Linked DNA regions of Coturnix japonica. The protein of the gene in region 3 interacts with the protein of the main gene of each other region in a pairwise test. Links are inferred from orthologs where the notes say so. Each region holds a gene or a part of one and is shown on either strand. Other genes may lie near its edges.

What was found.
Region 1: the proteins of MOS (region 3) and myotubularin-related protein 9-like interact in binary tests that used the Homo sapiens proteins (3 or more experiments, as listed by UniProt). The link is inferred for Coturnix japonica from reciprocal best matches to the Homo sapiens genes MOS and MTMR9.
Region 2: the proteins of MOS (region 3) and SEC24C interact in binary tests that used the Homo sapiens proteins (3 or more experiments, as listed by UniProt). The two-hybrid records come from large-scale screens. The link is inferred for Coturnix japonica from reciprocal best matches to the Homo sapiens genes MOS and SEC24C.

Annotation. Positions count from the first base shown.
Region 1 is NC_029538.1:4,520,984-4,524,729, reverse strand, and holds the start of myotubularin-related protein 9-like, read right to left. Parts: upstream 2,496-3,746; 5' UTR 2,387-2,495; intron 2,006-2,386; 5' UTR 1,806-2,005; intron 1,699-1,805; 5' UTR 1,692-1,698; coding exon 1,495-1,691; intron 1,343-1,494; coding exon 1,283-1,342; intron 1,036-1,282; coding exon 927-1,035; intron 716-926; coding exon 590-715; intron 454-589; coding exon 280-453; intron 201-279; coding exon 1-200. Other genes in the region: protein FAM167B, read left to right, coding at 2,880-3,161, 3,550-3,746. UniProt on the Homo sapiens protein: Acts as an adapter for myotubularin-related phosphatases. Increases lipid phosphatase MTMR6 catalytic activity, specifically towards phosphatidylinositol 3,5-bisphosphate and MTMR6 binding affinity for phosphorylated phosphatidylinositols.
Region 2 is NC_029521.1:13,589,220-13,592,965, forward strand, and holds the start of SEC24C (protein transport protein Sec24C), read right to left. Parts: upstream 2,716-3,746; 5' UTR 2,579-2,715; intron 1,831-2,578; 5' UTR 1,775-1,830; intron 1-1,774. UniProt on the Homo sapiens protein: Component of the coat protein complex II (COPII) which promotes the formation of transport vesicles from the endoplasmic reticulum (ER).
Region 3 is NC_029517.1:100,576,293-100,580,038, forward strand, and holds the start of MOS (proto-oncogene serine/threonine-protein kinase mos), read right to left. Parts: upstream 2,202-3,746; 5' UTR 1-2,201.

The DNA.
Region 1 (3,746 bases), on a different chromosome or scaffold from region 3:
AGCCTCTTCCACTGCGGGTACGAGGATTTGGGCTCCGTGCCCCCTCCCGTCATCCGCGCCTGTTTGGCCGTCTGTGCTGAGCGCGTGTCGATGATGAAGCCCCGCTCGCCCTCGTCCAGCACCGACCCCAGCAGCATCTCATCCTCCGGGCAGCGCTTGCGGTTTGGGCCGGTCAGCGGCTGCGCGCTGCGGAGCATCACCTGCGGGAAGGGGGCTGCGGGCATCGCCTGCGGGCAGCGGGGTGGGAGGAGAGGGAAGGGGGGCGGGATGTGGACTCACGGTGCCGTTCCTGGTGTGGTAGTAGCTGAGGACGGGGAAGCGCCCGCCCTGCCGGAACCGGGCCGCCCTCCGCAGGGTCTCTTCGCTCACAGCCGCCGGCACGATGACGGCCGGAGGGTACGTGGGGCAGATGGAGAAGTCCTGGTTCACGTCGCTCAGCCGCCACTGGGTGGTCTGGGGGGAGATGTGAAGGTGGGAGGGGGGAGCGGCCTCCCCCTGCACCCCAGCCAGGAGTAAAGGACCAATCCCGTCACCCCTTCCCTCTCCTTAAGGGTGGGATGTGACACCCTCCCTCCCCCCCAAGACCAACCTGCGTGGCAATCTGCTGGAAGTGCTGCTCCATGGGCAGCAGCGGCCACCCCTCCTCCAGCCGCAGGGTCTGGGGCCGGTGGAAGAAGGGGTACATCATCATCACGGAGTCCACCGAGGAGAGGGCCTGCAGCACAGCACAGCACAGCACAGCTGGGGGAAGGCCAGGAATGTCCTCCCTGCAAACCCCATCCCCGTTCCTTCTTGCAAGACTTGGCAGCGCGGGTGCCCCATGCAAACACAGCCCGAGCAGCTGAGTGTTTACCCACGTTAATGGCAGACCCAGAGCAAACACCGTGGGCAGCCACCTGAACCCTTTGCAGCCCGGCACGGCTCACCTCGATGGAGCTGGCGATGTTCAGGCACTCCTCCATGCCCGGGATCTCCAGCTGCAGCACCTTCAGGTCCTTGCAGCGCAGTGTGATGGTGCCGGAGGAGCCGGCCAGCCTGGGGAGGGCAGCGGGGTCAGGGCAGGAGGGGCTGCACGTGCAGACAGCACGGAGCTGCCCTCTGTCCGGGGGGGCTGAGAAGGGCACAGCACTGAGCGGGGCTCCCGGTGGATCTCGGTGTGCCTGAAGCTGTGACTCCCACCAGCTCCCCTCTGAGCAGCCATAGCCATCCTCGCCCCACTGAGCTGCGTGGGGCCGGGCACTGCCGGGCAAGATGGAGGAGCTGAGAGCACCTAAAGCCAAACCTGTTGTCCCGCGGGGAGCCGCTGCTGTGGGGGGGCTGATACCAGCCTACATTCTGCACTCTGGGGCACGGAGGAGAAGAGGAGGTCAATGGCCACTGCCACAGGCCATGGGGAAGAGGAGAGAGGAGGCTCTGCGGTGCCGGGAGGGCAGCCGGGAATCACCCCCATCCAGGACGGGACAAAGAGGGGACACAGGGTGGGAAAGGACCGACCTCTTCTCCACGGCGTCCACGTTGCGGATGAGCAGCCAGAGCTCCACGGCGCTGGGCTGCCCGTCGCCGCCGGGGCAGGAGGAGAGCAGCAGGTGGTGGCTGGTGATGCACAGGGTGCCCTTCACCGCCGGCTGCCCCGCACACGACAGCAGCACACTCTCCACCGTGGCCGTTTTGATCAGCTCGGAGAACTCCATGGCGGTGCTGGAGGGAGAAAGGGGAAATCCTGAGCGGCACAGCCCGGCTGGAGCCCCCCCACCCCCCCGTCCCTCCCCGCAGTGCAGCCACCCCCGTCCCGTTCGCGTCGTCACCTAAAGCCGATGCCGCTTCCTCCCTGCTGAGCTGCGCTGGTTTCCTCCCCTCCCCGGCGCTGCTGTCACCGCAGTGGGGAAACTGAGGCAGAGACCCGCGGGGCTCGGGGGGCTGTGGGTGCAGGGACGCCGCGCCCGGTGCGGGCTGGGGGGCACCTGGGGGGGAGTTGGGCCGGCTGCAGCCTCACATCGGCTCCGTTCTGTGGGGCGGGAGGAGGAGGAGGAAGAGGGGAGAAAAAGGAGGAAGAAGGGAGGAGGAGGAGGAGGGGGCGGCTCGCACAGTGCACCCCAACCCCAATACCCACCCCCGCCCATGGATCCACGGCTCCGGGGGGTGACGGGCGGGGGGCACACAGGGGGCACGCGGGGTGCGGGGCTGAGCAGGAACGGAGCCGCTGGGGGGGGGCGGGTTAAGGTGGCCCCGCCGGTGGATGCGGGGCCGGGGAGTGAGTCAGGGGACACGGGGAGGGGTCACACCGGGGGTGCACGCGCGTTTGCAGCCCCGCAACGGGAGCAAGCGGGGCCGTGTGGGGTCAGGGGACGGCAGCGGGGGGCGAGGGGCTCCGGGCCGCCGCACCCACCTTAAGGCCCCGCAGCAGCGCACAGCTGTCCCGCAGCTGCCGGGCGCCCACGGCCCCGCACTCCGCCCCGCGGGCACGTGGAGCTGCTCGTTTCCTTCGCCCTTTTTTTAGCGGCCCCGGACGGGAAGTCGGTGTGTCACGCAGCGAGTGGAGCGGGACGGCTCAGCCCGGCACCGCGTCCCGCGACCGCCCCGCGCTTCATCCGGGAGGACACGGAGCCGCCTCCCAACCGGAGACAGCGGCGCTCAAATAGGAAAGAAAAGGGACATAAAAACAACAACAAAAAGCAACTTCTTTGCACGCCTCTGGATAAGCCGAGTTCCTGCCCGTTATAATTATCCCCAACCTTTATTGTTCCGGGGGTAGATAAATAGGCGGCACTCGGCGCAGCCGTTCCTCGTCCTGCTGGGTGCGCTGGGGTTTGGGATCTGGGAGCTGGGAGCTGCAATTGGAGATTTGGGGTCGTTTGGGGTTTGGGAGCCGGGCTGCAGCCATGGCCCTGGGCCAGGTGAACTTCTCTGAGCTGGGCGCGGAGGAACCGGCTGCAGGTGAGGAGAGCCTGGCTGGGGTCAAGGCGCTCACGGCCAAACTGAAGCTGCAGACCCGCCGCCCTTCGTACCTGGAGTGGGAGGCGCGGGTGCGGGGGCAGCCCTGGGGCAGCCCGACCCCACGGGGGGCGAAGGGGACCTCGGGGCAGCCCGGGGCTGAGCGGGACGGCAGCGTCTGTGGCTTCCCTGGTATGGAGGAGGCTCTGCAGTGGCTGAGGATGGAGCTGGTGAGTAACGCTGAGGGTGAGGGGCACGGAGGGGCGGTGCCTGACCCCACCAGGGCTGCTCCCGCTGCAGCTCACAGCTCTGCTCCCGCTCCAAGCGCGGCCGCTGCTTGTGGGGTTGTGCCCGGGGCTGCAGCTCTGCCCTCCTGCCCTGCCCAGCGCTGCGGGTTGTGGCTCTGCATTTGTCAGCCCTCCCTGCTGCTTTGTGCAGGCAGCAACAGCCTCATGGCTGCAAACCTACCTGGGCAGATCCCAGTCCCTGTGCCCAGCCTGTGCTGCACACGTGGGCTCTGTGTGTATTCCTGATTCCCCGAGGCTCTGGCACCAAGCCCTGCTGTCACAGCAGCCCTGCTGGCTCTGAGCCCCTGCCGACAGCTCCGTTCCCCCCCAGCAGGAGCTGCAGGCTGCGGACCAGCGCCTGGCACAGCAGCTGATGCGCCTGCGGGCGCAGCTGAACCGGCTGAAGGTGGAGCAGGTCTGCCACCGGCACAAGGAGATGCTGGACGACGCCACCTTCGGCCTCGAGGGCTGCGAGGAGGACTCGGATCTGCTCTGCACCATCCCCCCCAAGGCCGCCTTCCTGCTCTC
Region 2 (3,746 bases), on a different chromosome or scaffold from region 3:
CGGCTTGTCTTTCATGTTGCTGAAATGCACCACCCGCTGCCTCACTGTGCTCACATCCGCTGTTTGGTCTCCATGAATATTCAGCAGGTGCCACTGAGCATCAAGGGGTGCCATTTTTGCTGGGTGAAGGAATTTCATGGTACTCCTTTGTTTCACGCGTGCTTCCATGTCAGACACAGTTTTGTCAGTCTGCCCCTCTGCTGCCATCTGTTGCACAGCAACAAAATGCAGCAGAACATTGCTGGGAAAGTTCAGCCTCTACTGCCATACCACCAACATAATGGGCCAACATAATAATAGGAGGCATTATGCTTGGAGCAGATATCGTATTTCATATCAAAACTCTCAATGGGCATTTTCCAACTTTTTAAAAGAAAAAAATAAAAAAGGCAGATAATGACCAGTGCCCTTGAAAAGCAGGAAAGCATTAGAGGTATTTGCAGCCCGAGTTACAATGAACATTTTCACAAGTCTACAGTGAACAAATAAATGCATGAAATAACAAGAAATTACTTTACAGTTATAAGTTCTTCTCTTAGTGCCAGACAAAAATATTTTTTATTCTTTCCTCTTCTAACAGGGCTTACCGGAAACATTTATTTCTTGGAAATCTGGACAGGAAAGACGTGACAATACTATGAAAGACTAACAAACATCTAAACTCTTCTCTTGCTCAGACATGAGCCATGGGCAACACTTCTGTTTCACTGCTGATCCCTGCGTTTGGAGCTGGAGAGAACAGTACAAGGAAGGCACTGAGAGCACTGAAAAAAGCCATCTAATAAACAAAAAAAGGCTATCTAATAAACAACAAAAGGCCATCTAATAAACAACAAAAGGCTATCTAATAAACAACTCCTTGTTTATTCTGCAAAGCATTTTCTGCAAAACATCCCGCCATAGAAAGGGTAAATAAGGACTCTGTAGACCTCCCTTTCTTACCAGGGGAAGTTCCTGCCTTAAGCACCAATTTCATTATGTATTACTGGAAAAACAAAGTGGTCCAAGCAAAGAAAAAAAAAAAAAAAGAAAAAGAAGAACTTTCTGTTGAGCAGCCTAAGGACAATCTATGGGCCAGATCGCACAGGAACTCCTTGCTCACAGATGCTGTACAAATTCAATTACACTGAAGAGTGCTTTAGTCTAACTCCACAGTGCCTGGATGAATGAATCAGATGAATAATTACTTCCATATTCTATTATAAAAGCAGTCATATTATAATGGGCTTGAAGCTAGCATGGATTCAGGGCTTCATTATACCTACTCTCTCTAAATCTTTCTCTTAATTATCTCCGGTCCCCAGGAGAGGGTTGAGGCCTTCTTTATTTGCTCTCTCTCCCAACATAGTTGGCTTGATTCCCAAAGCGAAAGACTAAAATGGAGTACGAAGTCACCAAGAGTAAATAAGTATCCTTCTAAATGCACAGATATTTTTTGTGTTATTTTAGAAGTGATAGAAATGTCACGGCAGCAGCTGCAGCACATTCTATTGTTCACAGAAGAAACAGCAGTTGAGCAGACACCTATATACACTGTTCTAGTACACTGTGTTTGTCCTGGGCAGAACAAAAGGTAGTTTGTTTGACAAAAGCAGTCCAGTGTTCTGGTCATACCTTACACATCTGGTACGGTATTGAAGATAAGCCTGAATGATCAGAAGCTGGTAATCCTGGCATATAGACATACATCTTTCAGATAAAGAACACTGGCAACAACTCATTTTGTGTACATTAAAAAGGGCTCAACAGCCAGGTAAAAAGAACTACAACTTACAGAACTGTTGGGATGCCTCCAGGGATTATCACAATATCTCTGAGATCTTGGGAACGCTGAAATACAAAGGCACAAAGGACAGAGTGTTAGCCCTCAAATCTACATGTTACTGTCAGATAAATGAATTATACCGTTCATTGAGGTTCATTAATACCAACAGGGAAGTATCAGCTGTACAAGATAAGGGCATTCCCCCCCAGGTCATCTTCAGCCTAACTTTACATGCACAATCCCAAATTGATAGGAAAGCAGCTCTTTACTCCAGTGAGCTCAAAATTTGTTTCCCAGGCACCACCAAAACTACTGCTACCTGAGTCAGCATTGTACCACCACACTGCACTGCTAACAGGAAAACTACGTGGTACAAAGTGCAGCTAATGCAATGCAAGGAATGTGAGCTAAATACTAGTACATTCAGAAAATCAAAACATATTTATTCAACAAGTGTTCCAAACTCTTACAGATCTAATTTCTGCCCACATTACCCAAATAGATGGTGCTGACCATGTGATGCTACAGGTCTAACCTGAGCAAGCCCAGCTGTGACATGAATTACATGCAAACCTCTGGTAGATGTGACCACATTGGCCTGCTCCCTTTAGCTACAGTCATATCCCACAGTGCTCACACCATACTTTGCAATCGTTAGGAATTACACACGCTCTGCAAGCACACTTCATTTGCCTCTGGCAAAAAGAAGACATTTATATCCAGGCAGCTCCATCCAGCAAGCTGCACTGCACCGGCTTAGGGCACTGATCCCATAATAAACTGCTTTGAGTAACAACAAGGCCAGGCCCGCACCTCGGTGCTGACACGGCATCCTCGGAGCTCAGCCGCCCCACAGACACATGGAATCACTGCTAGCTCCAGCTCCAGCCTGCATTCTGATCCTTGTGGGTACAGCTGTAGGGCTCCTCACCAAACAGAGTTAGCTCACAAGCTGCGGATCTTCTGCCTTTTGTGAGGGGATGCTACACCGGGCTGCCCTGCCCTGCCCTGCCCTGCCCTGCCCTGAGGGACACGGCCTGAGGGAGCGACCTCTACACATACACTAAACTCCCTCCGTGCTCTCGCGAGAGAAGCCGTCCCGCCTCTGTGAAGATGGCCCCTCTCGCGAGAGGCTGGCGGCGCGGCTGCTCGTAGCTATAGCAGCGGGAGATGAGGGCGGCCGAGGGGAGGGAGCGCTGCGTGTTGCGGCGGACGGCGGCAGGTAGGATTCACCGCCCCGGGAGGAGGCCGGGCTCGGGGCCCGCTCCACGCCCCTCTCTCGCCTCGGCACGTCCCCGCTGTAGCTGCGCGGTTGTGGCTGTGGGACGGAGCGCTGCCCGCAGCACGTTCCCTCACAGGGAGCTGCGCGGGGGCAGGAGGCCGAGGCGGGCAGGCAGAGGGGTCGGGCAGGCAGAAGTTGTTTGCTTCTCCTGGATTTGATTCCGTTTGAAGGTCTTTGGTGAGGAGGAGGATTATGTGTGGGGATTTCGAGGATTACAGCCCTAAATATAAACCACGCAGAACTCACCTTCTGCTTTCAGAAAGTTGCAGACAATGGTTTTCTGGCAGCTGCTGCTGAGAGCTTTAGTGCCTGGTTGTGAATGTGAAAGGAATCCAAGGAGCTTCCCAGAGTTCAGAACAAATTCTCAGTGTTAAAATCATGAAAATACATGCATGAAATTTGGGAAAAGCAATCATAGAATCTCTCGTGAGGTTTGAAAGAAAGAAGTATGTGCTGCAAACAGACCTTTGTGGGTTTGTGTTATTCTTCAGGCTTGAAAACAAATCCAAGACTGAAAGTTTTATTGTACAGAATACACGGAGTTCAGTAGCAGCTTTGGAAAACTAGTGATTTAGGAAGGCACACACACATTGATGTGCAAAGGGCTGAACTGAAGCTGGAAACGGTGCTGCTGATGGCTATAAAAGCATTTCAGTCCATCTCTTTCAGTCAGTACAGGTAAAATTATGTCAGTTTTTC
Region 3 (3,746 bases):
GCCTCACCACCCTTATCGTAACAAACTTTTCACTTATATCCAGTCTAAATCTCTTTTCATTCTGCCTGAAATCATTTCCCTCTGTGCTATCACAACAGTTCCTGCTAAAGTGTCTGTCCCCTTTGTTCTTAAAGCATATGGTTAAATTCTTCTCCACAACCATTAGTTTATTTATTTGTGCATCTGCTCAGTGAAAAACACACCCCTTTTAGGCCTGTGTGTTCAGTGTCTTCTAAGAAGTGCTTTCCAGTATTAAGGTAGCACTGTTTCTATTAAATTCCTGCATTTATCTCCTAAGTACTTATTCTGCTCTGAAAACAACATGGCTCCTTAGCCTGTACCTTTGTGACTTCTGAGTTTTCTTTACCCTTTCTAAATCAAAGCTTTTTTTCCGCTTGCTGTCAGTCTCTGTGATCTCACTTTGGGGTTTGATGACAAACTGACGTTCCTTCTCACTTCTATCCTCATTTCACAGTGCAAGTGTTGCTTCCAGTCACACTTCATAGACCTCTTAACGGTATTCTGAGTTGCATGAAAGCAGTTCTGATAAAATCAATTGTGCAGGCGTAAGCGACATCATCATTTGAAGCCAGTCCATACACACAGCCTGCTCTGAGGATGGGCCACAGACGACTGTTTATTTTAACTGCAAGGACGAGCCAGAAGTGAATAGTTTGTATTTTGGAGTTATGGTTGCTTTGCAAATGACACCTTGTAGTAGCAAATGTAGACAAGTTTTCATTAAAGCGCTGAGAGGTAAACCTTAATGCCAAGAACAAGCGCATCCACGGGAGTTGCAATGCGATCTTACAGCCCTTCTTTAGAAAAGAGCCATAATAATAAACATTTTAAAAGGTTAAATCCTGGTTTATAAATAATAAGATCAAGTTTCAAACACACACTGCCAAACAGTCGCTCCATATTTTTTTATTTTCATCCCCAAAAGGTTACTGTGTTTCAGAGCAGCAAGCAGAGGCTCTCCCTGCTGCAATGCTCTGAGGTGTTACCTGGAGGCAGCTGGAGGAAAGCAGGGGGGGGTCTCATGGCCCATTCACTATGAACACAATTGGACCAGTGATTACAACTTGGAACCTGGTGCTGTGGGTTAATATCACAGTTGCAGAAGAGCACCCTTGAGACGAAATGGTCTAAATTTAGGTGTGAGGATGATAAAGGTGAAACTCTGGACCGCAGAACACTTTCAGGTGACACAGAGATGGGTGCCTCTCCCTGTGGGATTACTGCTGTATAAGGCAGGCACATCATGCAGTGCTTCCAGCCACATTGGCCAAGAGTGTTTTTGCAGTCCTGCCCCTGTAGCGCAGCTAACAAACAGCTTTGCTGGGTTGTGGGGTGATAACAAAGAGCATTGGTGGAATTTGAGAGTTGTAGGTCAGGGAATAGAAAACGGCTTCTGTGCTTAATGAGCAACGTGAATCAGCCACAGCAAAGGGCCAACGGGACAGCATTAGTGCTACGCAACCACTAGGTGATAGATGATTTCCCAGGCACAGCAGATGTAATGCTGATGCTTGGGACTGAACCCTTGCTGTTGCAGGTGATGTGTGGAAGGATCAGTGATCCCAGCATCCCACAAAACCCCTGACCACTGATAACACCCAGCTCCATGATCGTAATGATCGCTAGGCTGCAGCAGGACAGAATTCAGTGAGTTTGGCAAGTTAGTCTATGCTTACTTGTCCTCAGTGTTAGATAACTCCTGCTCCTACGTTACAGTTTAAAGGTTGCTCCTTTATCTTATGTCCCCTTAGTTGTACAGCATCTATACTTTATTTTCACTTTCAGTGTAAGTACTTGCGAGAGAAACTTAAGGATGTACCCATGACCACATGTGCAATCATTTAATAAAAAGGCAATAAGCCAGAGGTGAGCTTAAATTCAAAGGCTCTGCCAACAAGGACTCTTCTACTGAATATCTATCTAATGCTACACAGGGGTAGCTGAAAAACACCTTCCCCACAGGAGGCTGTGCACCCTGTAGATAAGCTGCTGCCTCTCGTAGATAAATCGAGGAATTGGAAGAAACTCTTCCAATGTGTCTGGGAAACCAAGCACTGTGTTAAGTGGGAGATACCTTTACCAATAGCGTGATTCACTTTGGACTTGAAAAATGCTGAAGTTCCATGCTTACATTTTTTGAAGTGAAACAAAATGTATTTCTCAACTTTGGAAAGTTTCCCCATGCATGCACACATGTACACACACACACACACACACCACACACACACTCTTTTGTATATATATATAGTATATATATTTGTATATATATATAGTATATATAATTATATATATATATAGTTAGTGTGCCCCGGTGGCGCAGTGGTTGGAATGCCGCGTTGCGACACCGGAGCCCAGGTTCGAATCCCCTGTGGCGCAAGTGGTAGAAGTGCCGCTCTGCTACACAGAGGCTCGAATCCCGGGGGTTGGACTCGATGATCTCTAAGGTCCCTTCCAACCCGCACGAGACTGTGATACTATGATACGATGATATATATACACAAAAGTTTAGGCAATATACTGATTTCAGATTAATCAGAAATTGTGATTAACAGGAGCTCAGGGGCACAGGTTTAGATTTCTCTGTCAAAAAAAAACCCCAAACATTCTGTATGTTAGGGTACACTTATTAAATGGAAGGAAAGAAGGGAAAGCAAAGGGAGAAAGTATAACAGATCTTTTTCTTCCATTCCTTTCTTCTACACCTTTCAAGCAAATCTGGACAAGAAGCAGTTGAAGACAGGTACCGCCTCTTCCTCCATCTGTAGAGCTGTTGACTCTTACCATGGCCAACTCTCTCAAGTCAGTTAGAAACCTGTGACACAGAAGTGACAAGTCAGTTCAGAGGCGACAGCTGGGAGTCGCAAGAAAGCAAAAGTGTCTGTATGACACAGTTAGTGACTCTGGAAAGATCCTCTCTTTCAGACTGGTGAACAGGAGAAAATCTAAAAATTAAAGAATTGGAAGAGCAGGGCATTAGTAATATACATTTTGAAGAGCAAGGAAATGCAAATTTGAAGCAGCTTAACAGCAAACGCTAATTCTTTTCCTTTCCTGGCAAACAATTCATGCTAGGAAAATGGCTACATGGAAAAAGAGCACTTTCTTCTGCAGCTTTCTGCAACTGTGGGTAGGCTGCTGGTTTCATGGTACTTCTTCACTCAGTGCATTAGTCAGACTTGTTAGCGAGGCTTCCACAGCAGTGTCACAGGCAGACAGGAGGTGTGTGGTATCAAAACAGTGAAGTTTCTCCTGGAAGCGTGTCAAGAGAGGCAACCCACACACTGTGCCTGGAACACATGCCACAGTCTCACAGTTTATCCTACGATCTATGACAACAAAAATAAATCACTTGCATTCATCTGAAGTGATGGAGAGAATCGCTCACCCATTTCTCCCACGAGACCCCCAAACTCACCTTCCAGCTTCTCAAAAGGGCAGCTTGATGGCAAATGCGACTGCTTGCTTCTATTAGAATCTGTCTTGTCACAGACACAGTAGCATCATCCAGTCTGTTCCTTGGTAAAATCATGAAAGGCAGAAACTTCTGCTCATTAGATTTGCTGCAAAACTGACATTTTACCAGTCATCAGTCAGGAACACAGTTACACCTTTGCAAAATCAGAATAACTACACCCAGGAAAACTGGATGTATGTAAAATCACTCCTTGCAATCCCAAGCATGCAGACCGAGATTATCTATTGAAATGCCAGGCATAAGTTATTCA